Linked DNA regions of Cricetulus griseus. The protein of the gene in region 3 interacts with the protein of the main gene of each other region in a pairwise test. Links are inferred from orthologs where the notes say so. Each region holds a gene or a part of one and is shown on either strand. Other genes may lie near its edges.

Region 1 (3,926 bases), on a different chromosome or scaffold from region 3:
ACAAAAATGAAGTTGTTCCATGGAATGTAAATAAGGGAAGGGCGGGCCGCCTGCGTTCGTGCCCGCGGATTGGCCAGCAATAGTAGTCCCGAGATGTGGGTGGTACCCGGAGCATGAGCTCGGGCACAAACCGGGAGCTGAGGCTGGAAACCGGCTCGGTAAAGCTGCCGGATGCCTCGGGCGCTGCGGAAGCCCGAGTGTGAGAACTACAAGATGCGGAGGACGGACAGAACTGAAGGAGACTGGCGAAGGAGACGCCAGGGCCTGACACCGAGCAGGCGCAGGGCACGCGCCGGTTAGCTCAGCGGGTGGCAGATCATCCGCTGGAGCATGGCTTGTGTGTCACCGCGAGGTACACTCTCACCGACCATGCCTCCAGCCACGCGGAGTGCGGACCCGGCTCCCCAGCCACCCACCCTCTACCCAGCGTTGGAACGCCTCTCACACTGACGGGCCGCGGCTGGCCGCCCCTCCATTGCCCCTCCCATGGGAGTGGCTTTCTCCGGGTGGTTTTCGCTTCCCTCTGACCCTTCCTCATACACTGGGACTTTCTTTTTCCTTTGATGGCCACATTGTTTTTGATGGTTCGGTCTTTCGTTTGTTTTAAGGACGGTCTCACTATGTATCCCTGTCTGGCCTAGAACTCACAGATCTGCCTGCTTCTGCTTCTCGGGTGCTGGGATAAAGGCGTGCGCCACCTCGCCGAGCTATCCGCTTTATTTTGACCACCCGAGTCGTTGTGTTTGTCTTTCCCGCGGAGCATGAGCTTCAGGGTCTGGACCGTGGGGCTCCAGCTGACTAAGCGACCAGAAGATAGTGCTCCCTTCATCTCTCTCCCTGTTCCCTGACCGGTGCGTAAGGAGGGCGGTCCATGCGGGGGCCGAGACCCCACCTCCACGCCCCACGCCTGCTAGAGAGGAGGGAGAAAAGGGGGGCGAGGGGATGCTACTTGGCTAGCTAGCGCCGCTGTTCCAAGACGAGCCGCTCGGCGATCGCGGCCAGGTGGGCTCCACCTTAAACCGGAGGCCCGCCCCACGCCTGTGCACACCCTTTCTGCTCGGCTGTGCTCCCGGCATCCCTCACGCGTGGACTCGGGGCTTCCGGACCTGGGCGGAGCCCGCGGGTTTGGCCGATTGCGTCTTCCCAGCCCAAGCCTTCCAGCACCCGGTGCCAGGGGCCATGGAGCCCCGGGCAGTTGCGGATGCTTTGGAGACGGGAGAGGAAGACACAGTGACAGAAGCTCTGCAGTCGTTCAACCGGGAGGTGAGAGGCACCCGGCTGCTGAGGAAATTTCTTGGAGAGAGGAAGCAGTGGTGTGCGCGCAGCGCGGCCGGGGTGTGCGTGCGAGTGTGGCAGGGAGCACGGCCTTGGGAGGCGGGCTGGGCCTCGGGGGTTTCAGTGGTGGGGCAGGTGTAGGGGAAGCGAGGGTGGTGGGCCCTGCCTTGCGTTCAGAGCAATGGCTGCTGCCTCAGAGGTAAAAGCAGACCGGCTGCCCTGACTCGAGGAGCACAGGTCCTACCTGCGCGTGGACTTGAGCCTACTGGGTCTCCTCCCTGCAGCACTCCCAGAGCTTCACCTTCGATGATGCCCAACAGGAGGACAGGAAGGTAGGTGCCATCCCAAGGGGCTCCTAGGGCAGGCATGGGCTGCCCCAAGAAGAGGGACTGGTGGATCCACTTTTGTCCCTCCCCACAGAGACTCGCAAAGCTGCTGGTCTCCTTACTGGAGCAGGGCTTGTCACCGTCACACCGTGTCACCTGGCTGCAGACTATCCGAATCCTAACCCGAGACCGCAGCTGCCTGGACTCATTTGCCAGCCGCCAGAGCCTCCATGCACTAGCCTGCTATGCTGACATCACCATCTCAGAGGAGCCCATCCCACAGCCCCCAGACATGGATGTCTTACTCGAGTCTCTCAAATGCCTGTGCAATCTCGTGCTCAGCAGCCCCGCAGCGCAGATGCTAGCAGCAGAGGCTCGCCTGGTGGTGAGGCTAGTGGAGCGTGTGGGACTGTACCGCAAAAGGAGCTATCCCCACGAAGTCCAGTTCTTTGACCTGAGGCTCCTTTTCCTGCTAACTGCCCTTCGCACTGATGTGCGCCAGCAACTGTTTCAGGAGCTGCACGGTGTGCGCCTGCTGACTGAGGCGCTGGAACTGACGCTGGGGGTGGGCCCCAAAGAAAAACCCCCGGTGGTACTTCCGGCCCAAGAGACAGAGCGGGCCATGGAGATCCTCAAAGTGCTCTTTAACATCACCTTTGACTCTGTCAAGAGGGAGGTGGATGAGGTAAGTTGTAGCCTGAAGTCATGGGTGGGACTCAGCTCAGCTGGGACAGTTTTGTGGTTTTGCTTCCTTCCTGCCTCAACTTCCTGGGTGCCAGACATGGCAAGGATAATGGGACATCAAGGCAGGGAATCCAAGGAAGGTTTCTGAGCTGTGTTGTGGGGGTGTGTTTGTGGGAAGGCTTTAGGTGGCCAAAGGTCACCAACTGTGCTGTGGACAAAGCCAAGTGATCAGCTCCATGTGGCCCTGGAGCACTGGAACAGGGGACTCCTCCTTACAGGAGCCATTTTCTGTCTTTGGTTAGGAAGATGCTGCCCTTTACCGGTACCTGGGGACCCTTCTGCGGCACTGTGTGATGGTTGCTGCTGCTGGAGACCGCACAGAGGAGTTCCACGGGTAAGGGGCAGGACTTACCGTGTGTTGACAGTGGGGAGAGTACTTAGGCATGGGTACCCTAGTCCTCAGCCCTAGGTGTCAGTAGAAGCACCAGGTCCCACCGTAAGAGTATGACTGTCAGAGGGATGGGAAACCAGAGTGTTCCCAGAGAGCCCCAGGAACTCAGAATATGACTAGGGGAAGAGCTAAGGTGGAAACAATGGTGGCCCTGGCATTGTAAGGCAATGGTGTTCCTGCTGGTGGTGACCAATAAGTACCTCACCTGACTTGGTATCTCAGCTCAGACAGAATGGGACAGGCAGAAGTTTGTCTCCCCACCAAACTTGAATGGAGTACTACCTGCCCTTGCCTCTAGTCCTCGGTGCTGTCCTCAGTCCCCCATATCATGTATACCCCAGGAGAGGAGCCGGGGATTACTTCTGTGCTAGAGTTACTCTGTCAAGGCCTCTGTCTGTCCCCAGCCACACGGTGAATCTCCTGGGAAACTTGCCCCTCAAATGTTTGGATGTCCTTCTCGCCCTGGAGCTACACGAAGGATCCTTAGAGTTTATGGGAGTCAATATGGAAGTGATCAGTGCCCTTCTTGCCTTCCTAGAGAAGCGTCTGCACCAGGTAGGTGGAGGACCTGCTATGTTGTGGCTTCCATTTCTGCACCAGGGAGAGAGGTCAGCTTGAAGGTATAACTTGGACAGTTTCTCTGGTTGCTCTGTGGCCCCACCAGAGATAGCTATTCAGTCAGACCCTCTCCGAAGCTTGTGGATACAGCTTGTGTGTGGACCTCAATGCTGCTGATTCCCAAAGAAAAGCAGGCTTCTCAGGGTCTGCCAAGGTGAATGTTGTCTTTTAGGTCTCTGCAGTTCCCTGTTAAGTGATTCTCAGAAGCCTTTGGTTCCTGCTTCCCTAATGTTCCCATACATTGGCAGCCATAGGTGACAGCATTAGTTGTCCTGCATCTTTTGTTTTTTGTTTTTTATTTTTTATTTTGGTTTTTCAAGACAGGTTTTCTCTGTGTAGCCCTGGCTGTCGTGGAACTCACTCTGCAGATCAGGCTGACCTCAAACTCAGAGATCAGCCTGTCTCTGCCTCCCAAGTACTAGGATTAAAGGAATGACCCCAACCCCCACCTCCACCCCCACCCCCGTTGTCCCTCTGCATCTTAAGGAGACATAACCAAGGGTTACCTGACACCTACAGTTATAATATGGGACCAGAGAGCTGGTGATCTAGCCTATCCTGTGGAGCTCACA
Region 2 (4,127 bases), on a different chromosome or scaffold from region 3:
TAGTGTCACTTGCTCAGTGCTCCTGGTCTCCTGCCTAGATTTAGGGGCATTCTCTGTGCTTAAAGATGCTAATTGAGTATAGAACAGATGTAAGGTAGCAGAGAACAAGTGGGTAGGCATGTAAAATGAACTGAGGGGAAGAACGCATACTGACTTCTACCCACAGCCAGTTGCCCACACCAAATACTGCAGAATCAGCTTTGTTTTGTTGTCTCCACCTGGTATTGACCCATTTCTACTGGGCCTCCTTATTCTAAACTGTGTCCACTTCTCAGGACTATTATCTAAAGCAACTACTACTGTTTAGATGGGCTTCTTAGCCTCTACCTTGCTTTGGAATCCATCAGGTGGCAGCTAAAGGGTTCTGGCTTTTTTCATCAAGCCCCACACAGCATTAGAGAAAGCCTGGTAGCCTCAGGCTCTCAACCAATGTTCTCTCTTCATCCAGACTCCCTGAACATCATGGCAACATCCTGCCCTCCTCACCTCTCACCCCATCCCTTTTGGGCCTGTCTCCCATTCTAGTCCACTGCAGTTAGCTCCAGGTCAGTCTGTCTGCCTGGGACCCGCTGCCTCAAGAGTGGGTATTTGCTTTGCACCTCTAACTTCTGTGGTCAGCATATACAACCTGTGCGATTAAAAAGTTTTTTTTTTTTTTTTTTTTTTTGCAAGACCCTAGCACCTGAACTGGTTAGGCTGTGTTCCAGTGCTAAGAAGGGCAGGAACCGCATGGCCCAAGCAACCACACACACCCTACAAACCAAGTCTAAAGTAGGGTCAGGGCCCCTGGACACTTGCCCAGAGCATGCTGGGATAATGAGCTAATTCAAATCTGCACCCAATAATAAAGGATCTGAAGAGCTGGCCAAAGAGTAAGGCCATTTGCAGAAAAGGCTATCTTGGAGCAATTTGAGGGGTCAATAGGGAGGGACTCAACTAGGCCCCAGAAACTTTCGGGGTAATTTGATATAAGAACCTGCATTCACAGTGCCCACCAAGCTGCAGTTCCTGAATCTCCCTTTCTCTGTGGACAGCAGAGTGACAGACCAGACTCAGAAATGCGAAGGGGTGGGGCGGACAGGGCAGTACAACAGGCCAGTCCTTCCCAAAGGCCTCTTCTCATCCTGCCAAGAAGCACACTGGGCTCAGCTCTGGTGCCCCACACTGCACTACCACAGAAAGGAAAGGCTGGGAAAACCTAGCTAACCAGACGGAGCGCCGGCTCAATCCACTGTCTGTGTACGACTCACCCCTCAGGGTCACCATGCCACGCTACCGCAGGACGACACGCCAGCGCGGGTGGGGCGCGGGAGCGGGCGCGGGGCGGGGCACTGCGGGCGAGCAGGCGCTGGGGCTCGAGGAAGTCCCGGCCCCTCTCTTTGGGGAAGTACCGTGGAGGCGCCTGCGCACTGCGCCTGCGCCCCCTCCCCGGCGACAAGCAGGACTTCGGATCGCGCGGGCGCTGTGACTCGGGGACTCTGCGGTGAGTGCGGCGCTGGACCGCGGGCGGGCCCCGGAGATGTAGATGCCGGCTCTGTTCCCGGACTTCAGCGACCAGCCCACGTGGACCTGGGTCGCGGTGGGACCGGAGCCCACCCCCTGCGCGTGGGGGAGGGAGAGCCGCAGCAAGGTTCCCCTTTTTCTTCAGCTCAGAGCTTTGAGAAGTAATTGCTAAAGGTGGGGGCCGGAAGAACCCAGGTTTCCGTGTCTCCCGCCCGCTAGCCTAGTGGGGAGGGGCCAGGCCAGACACCGATCCACCACCTTACCCACCCTTCGAGTTGGGTCCACTAGCCACTCGGCCCGGCGAGCCTTAGGGGTGAATGTTGCGCCCCCTCCACAGCCCCACCCGAGAGGGATTCTGTGCGCCTTCCTATCTCGCGAATACCCAGGAGTACATCTTGCTGTCTGACTTAAGTCCCTGCTGCTTTAGAGCACGCCCCTTCGGCAGCCAGGGTGGGGCCCAGACCGAACCTGGCCCTCCCGCCCCCATCCGCCTTTAGGTCGCTGGTGAGTGGGGCCTCATGGCGAATTCCTTAAGAAAGGGGTGGGGGCGTCAGAGACTGCGAGAGGGACCGCGAAGAAGAGACCAGCCCTCCAGACGACCCCACCAGCAGAAAGCAGTAACTGGGTGGGGGCCTACCATCCCACAGGTGGGCTTGGGCAGCGGGGTTCGCCATGGTGAGAGAGGTCTGGCCCGCCATGGAGGTACAGGTAGGACAATGACAGTGTGGGATGGAAGTGGGAATGGAACCCCTGTTACCCCCCCCCAAAGGTTCTTTTCTTTTCTTTCTTTTTTTTTTTTTTTTTTTTTTTTTTTTTTTTTTTTTTGGACTGGTCGGGCTTGAACATTTTCTTCTGTGGAGCAACACGGCAGCCATTCCCCAGGGAGCTTCTGTCCCCAGAGACCAGATTTGCTGCATTTGGTCTCAGCATAGACTTGGGAGGCCAACGCCTGGGAGGCTTGGGGAGGGAATGAGCCATCCAGTATCCGGAGATGGGGCAGGAAAACCCTAATTCAGATGCTGGGCTCCCCTTCCCTAGAAAGAAGGGAGGCGGTAGTCAAGAGCACTCTGGACGACATGGGTGGTCCCAACCGACCTTTGATGGGTGCAAGGAGCCAGGACAAGAGCCTGCAGCTGGGGAAAATGGCAGACACCTGCGTCTGCACAAACTGGACCCCAGCATCCAGGCCCCACACACCCCAGGCTGTTCCCTGTCCAGTCAGCTGGTTGGAGATGGAGCATCTGAGGGATGGTCTGCAGGGTGATGACTCTGGAGAGCCTAGAGACCTTAGGCTACTACACCCCTTCCTTTCCCTAGAAGCTCCACCCCAGGGAAGTACAGCCCAAGCTACTTTTGTGTCCTGGTTTGCACGCTGGGAGACTTGGGAACCCACCATCTCAGAAATCGAGCCAGGTGGTGGGGCTGCCCTCAGTGTACAGACCTCAGGCAGAAGAGGATAAAGGGCCTCCCTCTGCTGGATTCAGGGCTACAGGAGGGTGGATTTCATCGACAAAGTAACGTGAGCCCCAGGTTAATGTGAGGAAGGTGGGCAGAGCAGAGATCTTAAGGCCTGGATAGCCTAGCCTCCACCTGGTCAGAAATGGGCACAGGCTGGGGAGAGAGGAGGCATTCAAAACTGCTGCCAGGGTGCTAATTGGATGCTTTGCTTCTGTTTTTCCTGGGGACACTGGAATTTGAAGTCAGCTTTCAGAGGCCTGAGAGGTTCCTAGAACCCCCTGTGAAGGTGTGGTCCAAACATCAAGAATGATAAATCATATGAAAACCCATTGAAGAGCCCAAGGCTCCAGCTAAGCAGCTGATCCTCCCACATTGCCACCCCAGCTTCCATGGCTAGCACTCCCTGCTTCTGCATCCTCAGGAGAAAAAGGGAAACCAGGGTGAAGTGGGGGTGTCTGACGCAGCCAAGGACCTAAGAGCCTTGTTACCTAAGTACACATCTCTCGAGTAACCCCCCACCTCCATTCCTCACTTTCAGGAAGTCTTGTTCTGAATTCTACTCAAGTACTCTGGTGCCTCAGACCTAGCCCTCTGCAGTCATCTGGGTAGCATGTCTACCCACCTACCTAGAGGGAGGGAGCCATCAGAGTATCCTACCATCTCCATACCAGCCTGTAGCTCCAGTCCCCTTAGGAGGGGCCAGGAGCCGGAAGCCAAGAAAGAGGAACCCAGGCTTCCGGCTTCTTGGGGACTGAGTAGATGGGGGTATCTTAGAGCCCTTTGTGGGAGGCCCAACTGCAGTAGCCCCATCATTGCCTGGGGCACTTCCATATGGGGTTAGCACACAGACTTGGGGTAGAGCTCTGAGCAAGCTCCCTCTGAGGGACCTGAGGTGGTTGCAGAGGTTACAAGGTGGGCCCAGGTCACAGGCCCTCAGTCAGAACTCCCAACACTCTTCTCAGATCCAAGCTCCCAGACTGCAGTGAAGGTCCAGAGCTGGCACCACAGAATCTGTGCAACCCTCTCCACCCACACATGCCCACCCCACATGAGGCGGAGAAACAGGTAGGCACTTCCTCCCTCTAATTGGGTTCCTGGACACCTGAGGCCCTTGGGGGCACAGCCAGTTGGGCAGATGGGCAGACATAGGGTCCAGTGAATTCTGG
Region 3 (3,431 bases):
CAAATTTCTCTCTGCAGCCCCTTACTTCTAATTTCAACTGCTTTCTGAACATAGTTGTGAGCACTGAAGTATAAACAAAGTTAATACTGTTTTCTTTCTCTCCTCTTTTCACTGTCTCATAAAGTTTCCAGTTGCTTTATCCCAGTCATATATTCATTCAGGAAAGTTCACACAGTTGAAAATACCTGTTTCCCCAGCATGGCTGTGCACACACTGCAACAAACACACATGTACACACTTTGCTCCTTCGTCTTTCATTTTTCACATGGAAAATCAGATCAAAGAATGTGTTCAGGAGTTTATTCATGTATTTGGTAAACCTTGGAGTGTAGCAATTTAGCTATCCAAAATGTGTGTTGCATATGAACTATGTACTAGGTGTAAACTCCTTTACCTAAACACATGTGTTATTAATTAATTAATGGGTTACATTTTAATAGCTTCCTTAACCCAACAAGCCATTGTTCATTGCATCCAAATTTTGGAGCACCAATGATTTAATAAAATATGATGTTTATAAAGTTATTATGATATAAAACAATTAAAATATAAACATATTCAGGGTCTATAGTTTTATCATTTTTGCTGCCCAGGCACACTAAACACAATCTCTCTCTCTCTGGGTCCTGTCATGTGACATCCATTGTACTGTAGTTTCATGCAAGGTCTGATGAAAGTGGTTGGGGTTTGCAAGATAGAGTTATTGCATTCTATTTAGGATACCTAGTGCCGAAAACAAATTGAGACCCCAGTAAAGCATATAACAAAACTGGAGTAGTATTTCTATTGTCTGTAGGAGTTCTTAGTGATACAGAGCCCATCTGGATTTGGATAATTATCGGATATTATGTAGAGTGCATTTTGAGCAGATGTGGAAAGAGCCAGACACACTGGATTGTGAAGGACAGCAGGGAAACAGTGCTGCAGAATAAGGGGCACTTTATATAATGATTTTTAGTGATACACACTGAGCCCCAGATGTGGACCTGAGCACCTAAGAGCAAAGTTTGAGAGCATGGAGAGTCTTGAAAGGCAGACAAGTAATGTGGGGTTATTACAAAAGAAAACCACAACAATTAAAAAGCAGAGTTGTGGAACCCACTCACTATCTGTGCATCTACAAAACACTCTTGAACTAAGGCTCAGAGAACAATGCTGAAGAGGGGCAGAAAGATTTGAGGGCCAGAAGGTCACAGAGTTCACTGTGGGATTGTGTCTCCTAGTAACATGAGAAGCTATGTCCCTAGTATCACCAACATGACTGCCTGAACAAGGACAACAGCAGTAGACATGCCAAAGTGGATAGGGAAAATCCAGGGGGCCTCCACCCTACAAGGAGAACTACAGGCAACTAAGGAATGCTGAAAACAAGAGAAACAGTCTCCCCCAGGGAAAAGCACAGCAACTGATTATCCAATACCAAATAGTCAGCCCTGAGAACACACATACAAACAACCTTATACAGACTGAGCAGGTTGTATTTAGGAATATAATATGTATGAGGATATACATATTTATATGTAATAGCAATTAATGAAAAAGGAGGCTGTGAATTTAAAAGAGAGCAAGGAGGGATACATGGCAGGGTTTGTAGGGAGGAAAGGAAACAGAAAAATGATGTAATTATACTATAATCTCAAAACTAAAAATAATTAAAGAGAAAACAAACAGGGGAAAGTGAACATACAATATAAAAATGCAAATTTAATATCTACTACATGAGTTAAGAAGCTGAACTTACCAATATCCCAGAATCCCTTTGCCCCCTTTCAGTCTCAACTAATTTTCTCCCCCAACAAATTTATTTAATAGTGGCTTTTTCCTCACACACCCATTTTTATTGTTTTGCAAACAGCAATTAGGTCACACGGGGTATGTACATGTTTGTGTCTGGCTCCTTGCATCCAGAGATTGCCACAGAAGTTCACTTGTGTTACTCTGTCTTGCAACATGCTTACATCCTTACTTCTGAGTGGCAGCTAATAATGTGATTCTCCCAGATTCCTGTGTCAGTGACAAGGGACAGACTTTCAGGCTGTTTCCTGAAGTAGAAGGCTGTGCTCCACTAGCCTTCTTTGTGAGTCTTCCTTAAGCATAACATAAAGTTCTACCAAGCCTACATGCAACAACTGGAATTTCTGGGTCAGAGTATGTGTGTACTTATCCTCAGAGTCTGCCAACCCATTTCTGATTGTTCTCACTCAGAGCCGGTCTCTAATCACCATTGTTTTTTTCTTTTTGGTAACTTCATAACATTTAATTATATTATAGACCTGAATAAAGTTCTATTCAGTAAGTTCTGAATAAAAAAAAATGATGACAAAAGGATAATTAATGAGTAACTATGAAGGGGGAGAGGGAAGCATTCAGCCAACACTACTGATTCGCCAGTGGGTTAGCACAGTAATAGTTAACCGCCGTTATGGTTCAGTGACTGGGGATGTAGATGATAGAGGGTGATAAAAAAAAAAAAAAAAGAACTCTGGCTCTTGGAGACTTAAGCAGAAACACAGAAAACATAGAATACCATGTAAAGGAGATTTTAAGTTTAAAGATGGCTTGTGAAGACACAGTGTTTTTCATTTGAAAAAAAAAATCATTTTGTTTTAGAAGGGAAAGTGGGGTTACAGAGTCCATATATTTTATATGCAGAAAAGTGACCTGTGCTTTGACACGTATTTTCCTTAAGCCTATACAAGCATAACTTCTTGCAAACTTCTTTGCTTTTTTTCCATCTCAGGATCGAACACATATGAAGAGGCAGCTGCGTATATCCAGTGTCAGTTTGAAGACCTCAACAAAAGAAAGGACACAAAGGAGATATACACCCACTTCACCTGTGCAACAGACACGAAGAACGTGCAGTTTGTGTTTGATGCTGTAACAGATGTCATCATAAAGAATAATCTAAAAGATTGTGGTCTCTTCTAAGTTTTGCAGTTGGTAGTCACATGCATTTTCAAACCAAATGAGTACTTATATATGGATCTCTCTAGACTAGAGTCTCCCAGCAACACAGAATGTAGTATACAGCAAAAGCATCCTGGACCTGACCAAAGTTGCTCTGTTTTGTGTCTTTCTCTGAAAATAATAGGGTCATTCTCAAAGGTGAAGGATGATCCTGTGGTGTGAAAGTGAGGTGTGATATTTAGGCTGGGCTCTAGTGTACTGATGATTTCTGGGTAAGTGTAAATATGCAAATGTAAGATGTATTTATAAGTTTTGATTTCCCACATTATGTTTAGGTTGTAAGAGTGGCAACTTACGATTCTAGTGTGATGGTTTGGGGAATAACATAAATATTAAGTACCTTGTACCGAATGACAGATTAGTTCTGTGTTTGCCAGTTTTAAACAGCTTTATTTTATGTTAGTGTCCTATAAATTTTAGGTACCGTAGTTAATATTAGGAAATGTCATGGCCCTTACCTT

What was found.
Region 1: the proteins of Gnai1 (region 3) and Ric8a interact in binary tests that used the Homo sapiens proteins (3 or more experiments, as listed by UniProt). The link is inferred for Cricetulus griseus from reciprocal best matches to the Homo sapiens genes GNAI1 and RIC8A.
Region 2: the proteins of Gnai1 (region 3) and Rgs19 interact in a two-hybrid assay, tested with the Homo sapiens proteins (2 studies listed by BioGRID). The link is inferred for Cricetulus griseus from reciprocal best matches to the Homo sapiens genes GNAI1 and RGS19.

The regions. Positions count from the first base shown.
Region 1 is NC_048596.1:60,341,408-60,345,333, reverse strand, and holds the start of Ric8a (synembryn-A), read left to right. Parts: upstream 1-1,126; 5' UTR 1,127-1,179; coding exon 1,180-1,263; intron 1,264-1,559; coding exon 1,560-1,607; intron 1,608-1,695; coding exon 1,696-2,286; intron 2,287-2,587; coding exon 2,588-2,679; intron 2,680-3,140; coding exon 3,141-3,291; intron 3,292-3,926. Other genes in the region: Bet1l (BET1-like protein), read right to left, coding at 1-115.
Region 2 is NC_048599.1:214,936-219,062, forward strand, and holds the start of Rgs19 (regulator of G-protein signaling 19), read left to right. Parts: upstream 1-1,327; 5' UTR 1,328-1,483; intron 1,484-1,511; exon of another isoform or gene 1,512-1,677; intron 1,678-1,840; exon of another isoform or gene 1,841-2,007; intron 2,008-2,150; exon of another isoform or gene 2,151-2,211; intron 2,212-2,541; exon of another isoform or gene 2,542-3,247; intron 3,248-3,923; 5' UTR 3,924-3,996; coding exon 3,997-4,026; intron 4,027-4,127. UniProt on the Homo sapiens protein: Inhibits signal transduction by increasing the GTPase activity of G protein alpha subunits thereby driving them into their inactive GDP-bound form. Binds to G-alpha subfamily 1 members, with the order G(i)a3 > G(i)a1 > G(o)a >> G(z)a/G(i)a2.
Region 3 is NW_023276806.1:175,950,362-175,953,792, forward strand, and holds the end of Gnai1 (guanine nucleotide-binding protein G(i) subunit alpha-1), read left to right. Parts: intron 1-2,740; coding exon 2,741-2,931; downstream 2,932-3,431. UniProt on the Homo sapiens protein: Guanine nucleotide-binding proteins (G proteins) function as transducers downstream of G protein-coupled receptors (GPCRs) in numerous signaling cascades.